Linked DNA regions of Neodiprion lecontei. The protein of the gene in region 1 binds, or shares a complex with, the protein of each later gene. Links are inferred from orthologs where the notes say so. Each region holds a gene or a part of one and is shown in the gene's direction. Other genes may lie near its edges. The genes, in order: trafficking protein particle complex subunit 8, trafficking protein particle complex subunit 11 and protein brunelleschi.

Region 1 (3,757 bases):
TTCGAAGACGAATATCACAAATTTAAATTATGAATATGTGAACAAAATATATGAATTCGTAAAAATCTTATAGAAGATTGACACAGAAGAACCCTGGTAGAAATTGTATTTCAATTGCGAGTATTGCATTTCAACGGAGATTTAAGAATTTTGTCAACGCATGTTTCTAACCAGATACTAGATAGCAAAACATCGGAACAAAAGATGCAAAGCTTACCAAACACGTAACGTCTGCAGGCTACAGGTTGTCCCGTTGTACTTTAGGTTGTTTCTGAAGATTCAAAGCTGATCTTCACAGCTAATTTTCGATCTTCACTTCACTACCTATGCACCGTGTACACTGTATCACTGATCATGAATGCACCACAAAACTATTTTAGGCACCACAGAATCACGCAGAAAATTCACCAAGCCGCAATGCAATGCGTAAAAAATTCTGCATCATTGAAGAGATACGTTAAAATTAAATTTCTGGCGAGGAACAAAGAAACACGTCAGTAACATAAGTATACAAAACTCTGAATTCGAGAGAACTTTTATATTATAATTGTCACATAGTAGGTTAGTTTACACTCACTGTAGGAGACCTGTTGTCAAGTTTTCAATATTATTATTTGCACGATTTGTAATATCACGAATTTTTAAAAAACCTCATCGATAGTTATACTTTCTGACATTAATTCTATCCGTTCGCGAGTTACAATTACTAAGTGAAAAGCAACTTTCGATTTATTATCACAAGACAATCGGTTATCACGTTCTTGAAAGTTTGCTTCACTGTACCAGCGTGAACAAAGTGAGGTTCGGAAATAATAAAGTATATTAGCAATTAGAAAATCAACGAGCGCGTATCCCGAACGAACATGTCCAGATTCGTCGGCGTTCCAGAAACTACTGCGAACTGCTAACAGCATGCAAGATGGCCGACGGTCTGAACTCGGCGGCGTTTCGAACGCCACCATTTGAATACGCATCAGCATGAAATATGCGTCGCAGATGCCAACATTGGATAACGAATTTTTAGGGAATAAACCAAGAATAAACAGCTGTCCGTGGACATGTTCATCATGGTCGCCCCTACAGATATGACGATGGCTACATACTGTCAAAAGTTGTAATTTACCTAGAATTAAGTCAATTAATTAGAGAAGATGAGTGATTGCACATCCAAAATGCAAAAATAGAATTCCAAACCTCTATGTGAATTCATAAATTGGAATAATTTCATATTTATAAAAGGAATAATCATGGCCCAGTGCAAGTTAACCCCACAAGAGTTTATCAGTAACTGTTTTTCACCTCAGATTGCTGCCGTTTGCTCAACTGCTGCAGAAAATACTTGTCAAAAAAATAATTTGACATTTATAGAACTGCTACAACCGTTTTGTAAACTCAATGCTGAAGGTAAAATTTTCATTTGCATTTCATATTAACTGTAGTTTTAAGAGTTCAACGTATTTCACTACCTTATCAGTTCTCGTGTAACTTGAACCCTAGGCGGTTCACACAGCTTTCCACTGAGCACAGAATCCTGTACTTGTTCAATGAATGCAACTGAGAGATTATTTAGGTAACTCAGATGTTATGTCAAATAAACAAAATAGTTCGCAAAATCGAGTGATCTACATGTTTGTTTAAATTCACATAATCATCTGTATCATGTATGTTTCTCATACCATGTTTCTTTTTGCCCCTAATTTTGTGTGAACAGGATTCCAAATAAGTTTCATGTTTTTTTGCCTACACTGTATTAGTATTATTTTTTGCAAATTAGCTTAATTCCAGATTGTTATTTTCATATTCTATGGAAATTGATATCTCACATTACAGCAGCATTATCTTTATAAAATTTTCAACTACATTGTTCATTCATTATTGTCAATATTAACAATTTATAGGGCACATCAAAGATCCACAAGGGGCGGCTGTCACAGTTCGCAACCTTCGTTTATCAGTCCAAGATGTAAACGTACGTCCACCACAGCCTACTTTAGCTCGAAAAATGCTTAATGAGTCCGTTAGCTCTTCACCATGTGAACGAACAACTATTGTGCAAATTGGGACAACGAACTTAGAGATTCCCATGTCCGTCCCATGGTTTGAGTCATGGAGAGAGATGCTTTTGGCTGTACAGTTTCCATCCGATCATGAATTTACTAAACATTTTCTGGCATGCATGATCATTGTTTCAACCGGGGATGATAATCCATTAGAAAAGATTCAGCATATGGGTGCCCAGCTGAATCAAAGTATACCTGGAAAACTGCCAAAATGGTTCAACAATAATGCCTTGAGATATTATATATTGATTCATGATACTTTTCAAGATGATAAAAATAAGTGAGCAGCGTCATTGGATACACTTTTGTTTAAAAATCACTTCATTCCTATGTAATATTTGCATGGAACCAAAAAACCTCACCTTTGAAATAATCTTTCTTTTAGGGCAGAAACAGTGTACACAGATATGAAGAATATTTATGGATCCAACAATTGTTTCTTATTACAAATGAACTCGAGACCACCAGGTCCATTGGACGACACTACACATTTACCAGATCCTTGGTGTCAATTTTTAAGTAAACATTCAGACTTAACAGAAAGCAGTGAACAAAGTAGCTCTCCCAGAACACCAGCAGATACTAGTGGAGTATCTGCAATGCCTAGTCAGGTTACGACTGAACCAGACAGGTGAATATCTTGGCTATTTTACTGGTTTCATTACCACAAATCCAACAAAAACAAATTGTAGCGTTACTATGGTTTTAGTCACTGCAAAGACTGGTGCTTCATGCTCTGCTGTAAACAAATCACTCAACAGCAAGATGAAACCATTTTTTCTTGCTTAGTATCGACTATCAACTTATCCCTCACTATAAACATTCCAAGAAAATAATATCTTCAAAAGTTTAATGTCACATACCTTATCAGTACTGTTAAATTTATGTATAAACCCAACTGTGTCCTTTTTCAGTACTATTATAACAACTATGTATCCGAAATTTTACTGATGCCAGTAGCGGGATAAAATCTGCAACAGCTTCTCCTTTCCCTGAACAGATTGTCTTTCTTTTTTGCGCCTACTGTATTTTATAATTTTTCTCATTGACTAAGTTCAATAGCTATTTTATTATTGTTTACAATTGCTATTGATTTTTAGAACAAGTCTGGCTGGTACCCCAATAGCGCCACGTAATCCAATGTTGGGTTCTCCAGATGTATGTGATACAATAAGCCTTTCATCGGATGCAGCGGAATCATCAATTGGTTCACTTGAAGTTGGACAGGAAGCAGTTCCCGTTACAACTCATCCATTGAGTCCAGAGAATGAGAAATCCTCATGCAATTTTATACCGTCAGTAACCCTGAAAAATCAAATGGAAAATAATACTCCAATTAACGATAACGTTTGGGCAGATTCACCTAGTCAGCCAACCATTCAACATGGTATAAGATTGTCCTCTCAGGATTTGGAGAGGTTACGAACATTGATTACAGAATTTTGTTTGAAAAGTTTACTACCATATGTTGAAAAACAAATTGGACTGCTCAATGATGTTATTTCCAATAAGAAAGGTGTTAGTAGATCCTTATTTAGTGCTACAAAACGTTGGTTTGTTACTAACAAGCCTGGAGCACCTGGATCTGCCCCAGCAAATGCAGTGATGTAAGTACGTACGATGTGAAGACATATTCAATGTCAACCCTATGACTTATGGTCTTACTATTTCTAACGATGTAGTTCAATTGTATTTAC
Region 2 (3,757 bases), on another chromosome or scaffold:
AATTCTGATATACAATAGCAAGGATTGCAACAAAAGTAGATTTCTATCAGATTCCTTTTTTGGAAACAGATAATGCCAATGAACAATTTTTTGAATTGAAGAAACGTTGGTATAAGGAGTAAATTTATCTTAGCCATTTTCGAAATCGACTAATACCCAAAATCAATTTCAATTACCTTTTCTGAATTAATTTGGCCCAGAAGAATTCAAGAAAAAGTGTTCCAAACGTAAATGGACCAACACCTAAAGAAATACGAAGCAATTTTTCTGTTTTCGGTTGTAGTTTTCGATTCGTTGATCGCAATGGGTTGAGACTGTGCGCAAACGTTTTTTCTAGCAAAGCTACGTGTACATGGCGTCTCGAAAAATTTAGTCGCGTGTTTTTCGAAATTGCCAATTTGCGACCCGTTTTTACAAATTGGACCAAGAAACTCAACTGAAATAACGTACGGTTAAATGCTAATTATTTGAATTATTTGACTTTAAGGTTTCAGAAATTAACGCAGCGACTTGGGACTCATTTTCCAGCACCGTTTTCCGAAATCTATTCTTGGAAGAGCGTTGAAAATAATAATGAACGTATTTCGAAACGACGTGGTCTCTGTTGTTGACGTTTTATCGTAACAAAATATTGGAAAGAATTTACTATTTAGGAGTTTCCGATACCTTTAAAGACACTCAGATTTCAAAATATGATGTAGGAAGTTTGAAATCTACACACGCCAACGTTCCCAGATTAAAAAATCTGATCTCCACACCACTGATCTCTGTATTAACCGCGACACTGATCCAATGTATATCTATATCCGATTTTTTCATTTCGGATCATTCCGAAATATCCCACATGCCAGCACACATGTCAAAATACGTCCTATCTGTAGATGAAACGCCGTTTTGATGTAAATACTACAAATTGACAAGGTTGTAGTCGGGGTTGCCTGCAACGGGGCGTCGCAATTTCTTCCGTTGAGGCTGTCAACCTTAATTATTCCCAGAACCTCCGCAAATTGTGATGACCGTCAGGAAAGTGTATTTTAAAATTATTCGGAATCATATTTCTCATTTTTTGTGTGAGACTTGATCGGCTTGGGAGTTGACACAATCAATTCATCGTGGATAACAGATTCGTTCTTACTATAGCAGACGTTTCGCCAACGCTTGCGCGGTAGCACGCGATCTGTTACCCACGTATTTCGCATCTTTACTCCGCCCTGACACCGTAGCTGTCATCATTTGAGTTTTCTGTCACTCAAAAAAATCATCAAAACTAGTGGTACAGGGGTCTCTGTAGGGACCCGACAGCCAACTAAAAGACTTAAGAAAAAGAAGAAATCGCCAAATCCTGCATGAGCGCTGAGCCCAGTTTACGCGCAAACCATTCTCAAATAGGTTTAAAACACATTTTGTTAAGTGTGCCTATTTAGCCTAACCTCAATTGAAATGTCAAACTAAATAGATTTGATAACGTTTGAACTCAATAACTTATCACAGCTTTCAAATTGAGATATGTGACCCTTTTAATTTTACAACAGATTCTACTTGGGACTTCTGTTCTGTTATTCCTGGTTCTTGTCCATTGATCCATGTCAGAACTACCTGCAGAATTGACAGCAAAGCCCTTGGCTTTGATCGGTGTTACCGGATTGGATACAGTAAACAATGCGATTCACCGATTGATTTGGGATGCATTCAGCAACAATCGCCGGCCAGACAGTGCAGCTGTTCAGTTTAAAATATTAAGCAATGCCCATGAGTTTCCAACAGTTAAACCAAAGGTCTGTTGACATTAGATCACTCTTCGATACAACAACTCGAATATTCAAGTTATTTCACTAAGAATTTGTCCCCTTAAATTGAATGGCATGACGAATAACTTTCGATGTCTGCTGTAGCGTAACTCCTACGAATGGTACATACCCAAAGGGATATTAAAACGAAATTGGATGAATAAATATCTAAATGACATACCATCCGTCGTTGTTATATTTTATGACTTGGATTGGAATGATTCTATGTGGAATGAAAAAAAGATCGAATGTGCATCGAGAGTTCAATCCTTGAGGTACATGTATCAGATTATTTATTTGGTTACAAATCAAAATATATCTAAGTATAACAAATCTTCAAACAATTATAGAGCTGCTATCGAGGGTAGAAGTACGAAGATTGCTGTAGTTCTAATACAGCATGGAGCACCGCCACAACCAGGCGCTGAAGATGCTGCAACAACTGAGCGTGCTACAGCTTTGTGTGCTGCATGTGAATTGCCAGCTAAATCGTTATATGTCTTACCTCATGGCGATCACTTGTTGGGTTATACTCTAAGGTAGTTGCTTGAAATAATAAAGTGTAATACTTGTTGGTTGTGTGCTCAGCAAGTTTGAATAGGACTAATGACAATCTGTACATGTAGGTTGGAAAATGCCTTCTATGATTTGGCCCAAAACTTCTATCACCTGGAAGCCCGCATCGTGAAAAATCACAGAGATCACCTGAACAAGACTACACATCAATATTTGTTTGTCCGGCATCAGTTTAAGATGGGCTTTCTAAATGAATTGAAACAGGATCAGCACATGGCTCACAAGCAAGTTGTCATTATTTTTCATGTGATATTTCAATCTGGACACCTAATCAACACTAGTAAAAAAAAAAAAACAAGCTTGTTGAGAACTTCGAATCATAGCTAACACTTTTGTATTCAATAACTCAATTCGCGAACCAATCCCTTCTAATCATGCAAGTGTTTATTTCACAGGCATTATCAGTTGGCGTACAATAACTTGCTTGATATACGAATGGTGGACACAAATGCTTTGGAAATAAAGACTGTTGCAAGCTTCATAAATTACAAACTATGTCGTCTAATGTTCAACTTAAATCTTCCCCGTGATGCTATTTCGCAGTTTAGAGCTCACACAGATCGGTATGTATATCTTTACAATATAAAATTTTACATGTACGATTATCTTTCACCAATTACTAGTAGGCCTCAGTACCAGAAAATTGATTGCATTCAAAGGGAATATCATAACTCAAATTCCATATACCATTACAGTTTTAAATTGAAAGTTGGTCCCAAAGAACTAATGTTTGAACATCACGCGTGGATGTCAGGACAGTTCTCCACGTTTGCGGAATTATTTGATGAAGCCATCAGGCAAGGTCTTCCTGCTGTTCAAACTCAGCATCCAGGATACTACTTTCAGCTGGCAGCTCAGCATGCTACTTTGCGGCAAACAGCGTGCAGAGATCTTTGCAAAGTGAGCAGATATTTGACTTGGTTTATATTATTTCATCTATAATGAATCTAAACCTGTATTTGATTATGATTCAGGATGTTAATGAGTATCCCGAACCTGATCCTTTGGCAGGCCAAGACAAACTTGAATATTACGGTCAGAGACCATGGCGTCCAGGGAAATTGAGTGCTGAGCCTGCAGACATGGCACGGGAAGCAGCGGCTATTCAAGCTTTACAACACAAAGAGAAGACTACTGTCAACCATTCTGTAAGTCAATTAATTTCTCAGGAATGCTGAGAGATAATATTGTGATGCGTGTGATAAATTGGTAGCAGAAATAGTTGTTTATAATTTATTTTCAGATGATAATCATCGGTCTTTTAGGACATGCAATTTCCCAATTCAAAACTTATCGATGTCCAAGAATGCGTCGTCATTTAGGTTTGAATACTACCATAACTTTATGCAAATGTATTAATTTGAATATCACTGGCTTCTAAAGAATTAATATTT
Region 3 (3,757 bases), about 6.7 Mb from region 1:
TGATTCACTTTGGTACAAAATAATACTTGAAAATCGTAAAGTGGGGAGTGAGTGTTTACAAGTTTCAAGTCAGTTATGAATCTTTATTTTGACTATTACTGTACACGAACATTCACAGAGCTTAATGTAGTATCTATTTTTACATTGTATAAGAAATCGGTATAATCTAAACTACGAAGGTAGCATTAGAAGGGTTTCAACTTGGCCATCAAATTGGTCCTCCTCATGGCTGCTTTCTTCACCCGCCTCCAGTATTTTTTCGTATCTGGATCCAGCTCTTCCAGTTTAAGAGGTGGGCCTATGTGTATGTCCCAAAGCCAGTCGGGATATTCAGAATCTGGCTTAATCTCAATGTCCTGTCCTTCTTTCATTATATTACTTCCGCACACGAATTTTACCAATTTTTCAGGATCTGTTTCAACTGGAAGTACCTTCCTCTCCAACGGCTGACTTAGTTTCAGCTTTTTTTTCCCCTTTCCGAACATACCACCTGAAACAGGAAATGAAGATAGGACAAAGATGGCACTTACTTTAACTGCTTGCGCAATTAATTGACATCAAAGAAGCAGAGCTATGGTTTTCCATTATCAAGTAGATATATCGAAGTATAACAGTCGAAAGGTAGGAGAAAAGTATTCGACGTTTAAAATACGCGCTCTTGTGGGACAAACACGTGATATATTTTCACCTGTCGGTTGGCAACACGAAATGCCGTTCGTATGTAACTCATAACTTAGTCTAACCTAATCTAAACAATTCCGGAGGAACTATTTTCAATGAAAGATGTGAGAGTTGATATGCATTAATACGTACCGGCATCTGCCTTCGCGTAGCCTTTAATCTGCACGACATATTGTGACGGAACTATAATATTTTTGCCTAAACGAAGCAAACAAAGTGACGAGGAGAGACTCATGATAACACAATCGTGTCCCTCACGCGACCCTCGTGGGAGATAACCAAACTATTTGACCAATTGGACACAACCGTAGAGTACGTATTTGACACTAGAGAGTATGTGCAACAATCACTTCGTTATAGAATCCGGATTTGTGAAAATAAGATTATGTACATATATGACACAAGTCTGCCTTGACAGTTTGACTATTCCATCTGGTTCATCGACATAAATTTATTTCTCATTACTATATTTATGTGGAAATGAAAATCTGGACAGAACAACATCCTTTTGTCCGATTATACAAAATCCATTGATCACGTAAACATTGTAGAACGCTAATAAACTCTGAATTCACACCGGCTATTGACTAATATCACCCAACCTGACCTAACCTAGCTTTTATTTGTCAGCTGAGTTGAAAGCTGTCAAACGGCAATTCCCGATCCATAAATTAAGGCTCTGATCAATTGAATTTCGTTGCACGTCGTTGTACAATGATCACCGCTAAGGTAGGTAGAAACTCGGAAGTTAAAACTTCTCGCAATAAATTAGCAGCGCGGAATAATTATGAATTGACTAATTTTGACTCGTCGAATTTATGTCAATCTTGTAGATGTTCCATTCGCGTTTTCACGAGTATGAATGAAATACACTGAGTGAAAAAGAAAAGAAACACAACAAGAGTAACTTCTCTGTAATCCGTATAAGGTTATCCAAAATGTGCATGTGTACCTAGCAAAACCAAAGAAATATGATATTTGAAGATTGATGTAAGTCTTGAACATTCATGTAATAAACCATCCACTTTCTGTGTCTTCAGGTCACATTTGGTTGTTGCTTGATGGTAGCGTTGGTATAAATGCGGTCTGCAGTCAGTGTAATTCTGTCGAGTTCGGTGCCTGACAACAAGATGTCTCAGCCCGACTATGAGCAGACAGCTCACGACCACGCAGCACTGTTGTTGCTATTGAAGCCAATTGGCACTCAAACGAAGCAGAAGACAGTAACAAAAATAGGAGAGAGAATTATAAAGAGTGGAAGTAGATTTACAGTGCTTGATTCTACCGGTATAACGCGTGAAATTCTTGCCAGATTTGTAAGGGAACATCCAGTTGAAAATAACGATTGGAGTGAATTTCAAACGCACAGAAGACTCCTAGGCCTGATTACTATAGGAAAATATGACAGCCAGACAGAGCTCGATGAGCTCTGTAGACTGCATGAAACTTTGAAAGTGAAATATAGCGCGACCCTCTACGATTCCAGAGCAATTCTTTTTGGACCAGTTGAATCTGAGAATTTAAATGAACCACCGAAACCATTTACGACTCCTTCAAATTTTAAGACAAGGGCGCTGTTCTACGCAGATGAAACTTGCCCAGACCTTGAAGCTCAAATTGCTGAATGTCTAAACTCTCTCTTTTGGATCCTAGAATCTAAAAGACTTGAACGATCCAGGGAAAAAGTTGACCGTGTTCCTTTGCTACTTGCACCGTTTGAAAAGAAGGATTTCATTGGTTTGGACCTTGACTCGGGTACCATGAGAAAGAGGTGCGTCGGACGAATGACCAAACACTTGGGAGATCTTTGCCTCCAGGCCGGCTTACCTGCCGATGCTTTATACCATTACAATTCTGCTGCTAATACTCTGCAAGCTGTTAAGGATTGGCTCTGGCTCGGCGCTGCATTTGAGGGGTTGTGTGCTGCTTCTGTTCTAGTCTTATATCCAAATATGTGTCGGAGTCTTCCCTTACAGAGAAATTCGTCCTTGCAGGAAGGTAGTCCAGGGAAACAAAGGTAAATATAAGTTTTAAAAGTTGTTGAATTGAAAAGTAAGTCTGCAAGGTAATCAAGAATTCCCATTTTCATCTGCAGAAGGGAGTCTCAGGCCTTGAATACTTTGCCACCTTCTCCTAATATAGAGGCGATCAAGGCTGAGATGCCGCAAATTTTACCGCCTGAAGAAATTGCAAAAAAATATCGAGAAGCCATAGTTCACTACAGCAAACACAAAAACGCAGGGGTAATTGAGACGGAAGCAAGTTTCAAGGCGACAAGAATTTCTATAGAACAAAACTGCACTTTGCAGGCAGCTTCTTTTCTCAATAATGTTGTATTCATCAATTTGAACATTAGCGAGCATGAAAAAGTAAGCAAATTCAGTTTTCCACTCATTGCATGTTTTTGAGATAATGCTGAATACGTTGGAAATATTCTGTTCCAGATTGAACGTTTCACTACACTGTCAGAACTGTTCACTGCCTTTGGCTTCACGCGCAAAGCCTCTTTCTGTTTACGTCTAGCTGCTACGAGGCATGTTTCTCAAAATAATCCAAATCCTGATTGGCAGCAGTGTTATAATCTAATGTTGCAAGCGGCACCTGGGCTGAAGCTTAGTCTTGATCCAGTGGAAATGCCTTCTGGTGAGGTTGCGAACAACTTTTCACTAAATTGAACCACCAACAACTGGAAGTATAAACGTCTCACTATTAACTAATTCTCCGGTTTTTCAAGATGGCTTGCGGGGTTGGCCTACTTTACAAATTCAGCTCATACAAGAGCTGGTCGTTGCCGCTAAGCGAATGGGTAATCCAGCCCTCGCCACTCGGCACATGACATTCTTGCTCCAGACTATGTATGATCATATGAGCCCTACAGAACGCAAGGAATCAGCTTTACAACTTCAAGCTGTGTCGCAGCAATGTGAAGGTGCACCAGTGCCCCTTGTATGTTGTTCTTTTTCATGTACTGCCAAGTATGGTTAAGTTATAAAACAATTAGTGTTCATTATAAAAGTGATTGCATTGTTACTTACTACGATATGTCACATGTATTTTTCCTGTGCAGGTGTTAGAT

The links.
Region 2: trafficking protein particle complex subunit 8 (region 1) and trafficking protein particle complex subunit 11 share a complex: the UniProt entries of both Homo sapiens proteins name them as parts of the multisubunit TRAPP (transport protein particle) complex. The link is inferred for Neodiprion lecontei from reciprocal best matches to the Homo sapiens genes TRAPPC8 and TRAPPC11.
Region 3: trafficking protein particle complex subunit 8 (region 1) and protein brunelleschi share a complex: the UniProt entries of both Homo sapiens proteins name them as parts of the multisubunit TRAPP (transport protein particle) complex. The link is inferred for Neodiprion lecontei from reciprocal best matches to the Homo sapiens genes TRAPPC8 and TRAPPC9.

The regions. Positions count from the first base shown.
Region 1 is NC_060260.1:32,023,612-32,027,368, reverse strand, and holds the start of trafficking protein particle complex subunit 8, read left to right. Parts: upstream 1-1,065; 5' UTR 1,066-1,247; coding exon 1,248-1,404; intron 1,405-1,898; coding exon 1,899-2,340; intron 2,341-2,445; coding exon 2,446-2,691; intron 2,692-3,160; coding exon 3,161-3,667; intron 3,668-3,757. UniProt on the Homo sapiens protein: Plays a role in endoplasmic reticulum to Golgi apparatus trafficking at a very early stage. Maintains together with TBC1D14 the cycling pool of ATG9 required for initiation of autophagy. Involved in collagen secretion.
Region 2 is NC_060264.1:3,294,800-3,298,556, reverse strand, and holds the start of trafficking protein particle complex subunit 11, read left to right. Parts: upstream 1-1,006; 5' UTR 1,007-1,389; intron 1,390-1,532; 5' UTR 1,533-1,583; coding exon 1,584-1,775; intron 1,776-1,892; coding exon 1,893-2,062; intron 2,063-2,137; coding exon 2,138-2,326; intron 2,327-2,413; coding exon 2,414-2,587; intron 2,588-2,758; coding exon 2,759-2,926; intron 2,927-3,058; coding exon 3,059-3,263; intron 3,264-3,337; coding exon 3,338-3,511; intron 3,512-3,606; coding exon 3,607-3,685; intron 3,686-3,757. UniProt on the Homo sapiens protein: Involved in endoplasmic reticulum to Golgi apparatus trafficking at a very early stage.
Region 3 is NC_060260.1:38,739,112-38,742,868, forward strand, and holds the start of protein brunelleschi, read left to right. Parts: upstream 1-1,104; 5' UTR 1,105-1,410; intron 1,411-1,721; 5' UTR 1,722-1,760; coding exon 1,761-2,698; intron 2,699-2,776; coding exon 2,777-3,050; intron 3,051-3,125; coding exon 3,126-3,324; intron 3,325-3,415; coding exon 3,416-3,627; intron 3,628-3,748; coding exon 3,749-3,757. Other genes in the region: 39S ribosomal protein L54, mitochondrial, read right to left, coding at 186-490, 814-916. UniProt on the Homo sapiens protein: Functions as an activator of NF-kappa-B through increased phosphorylation of the IKK complex. May function in neuronal cells differentiation. May play a role in vesicular transport from endoplasmic reticulum to Golgi.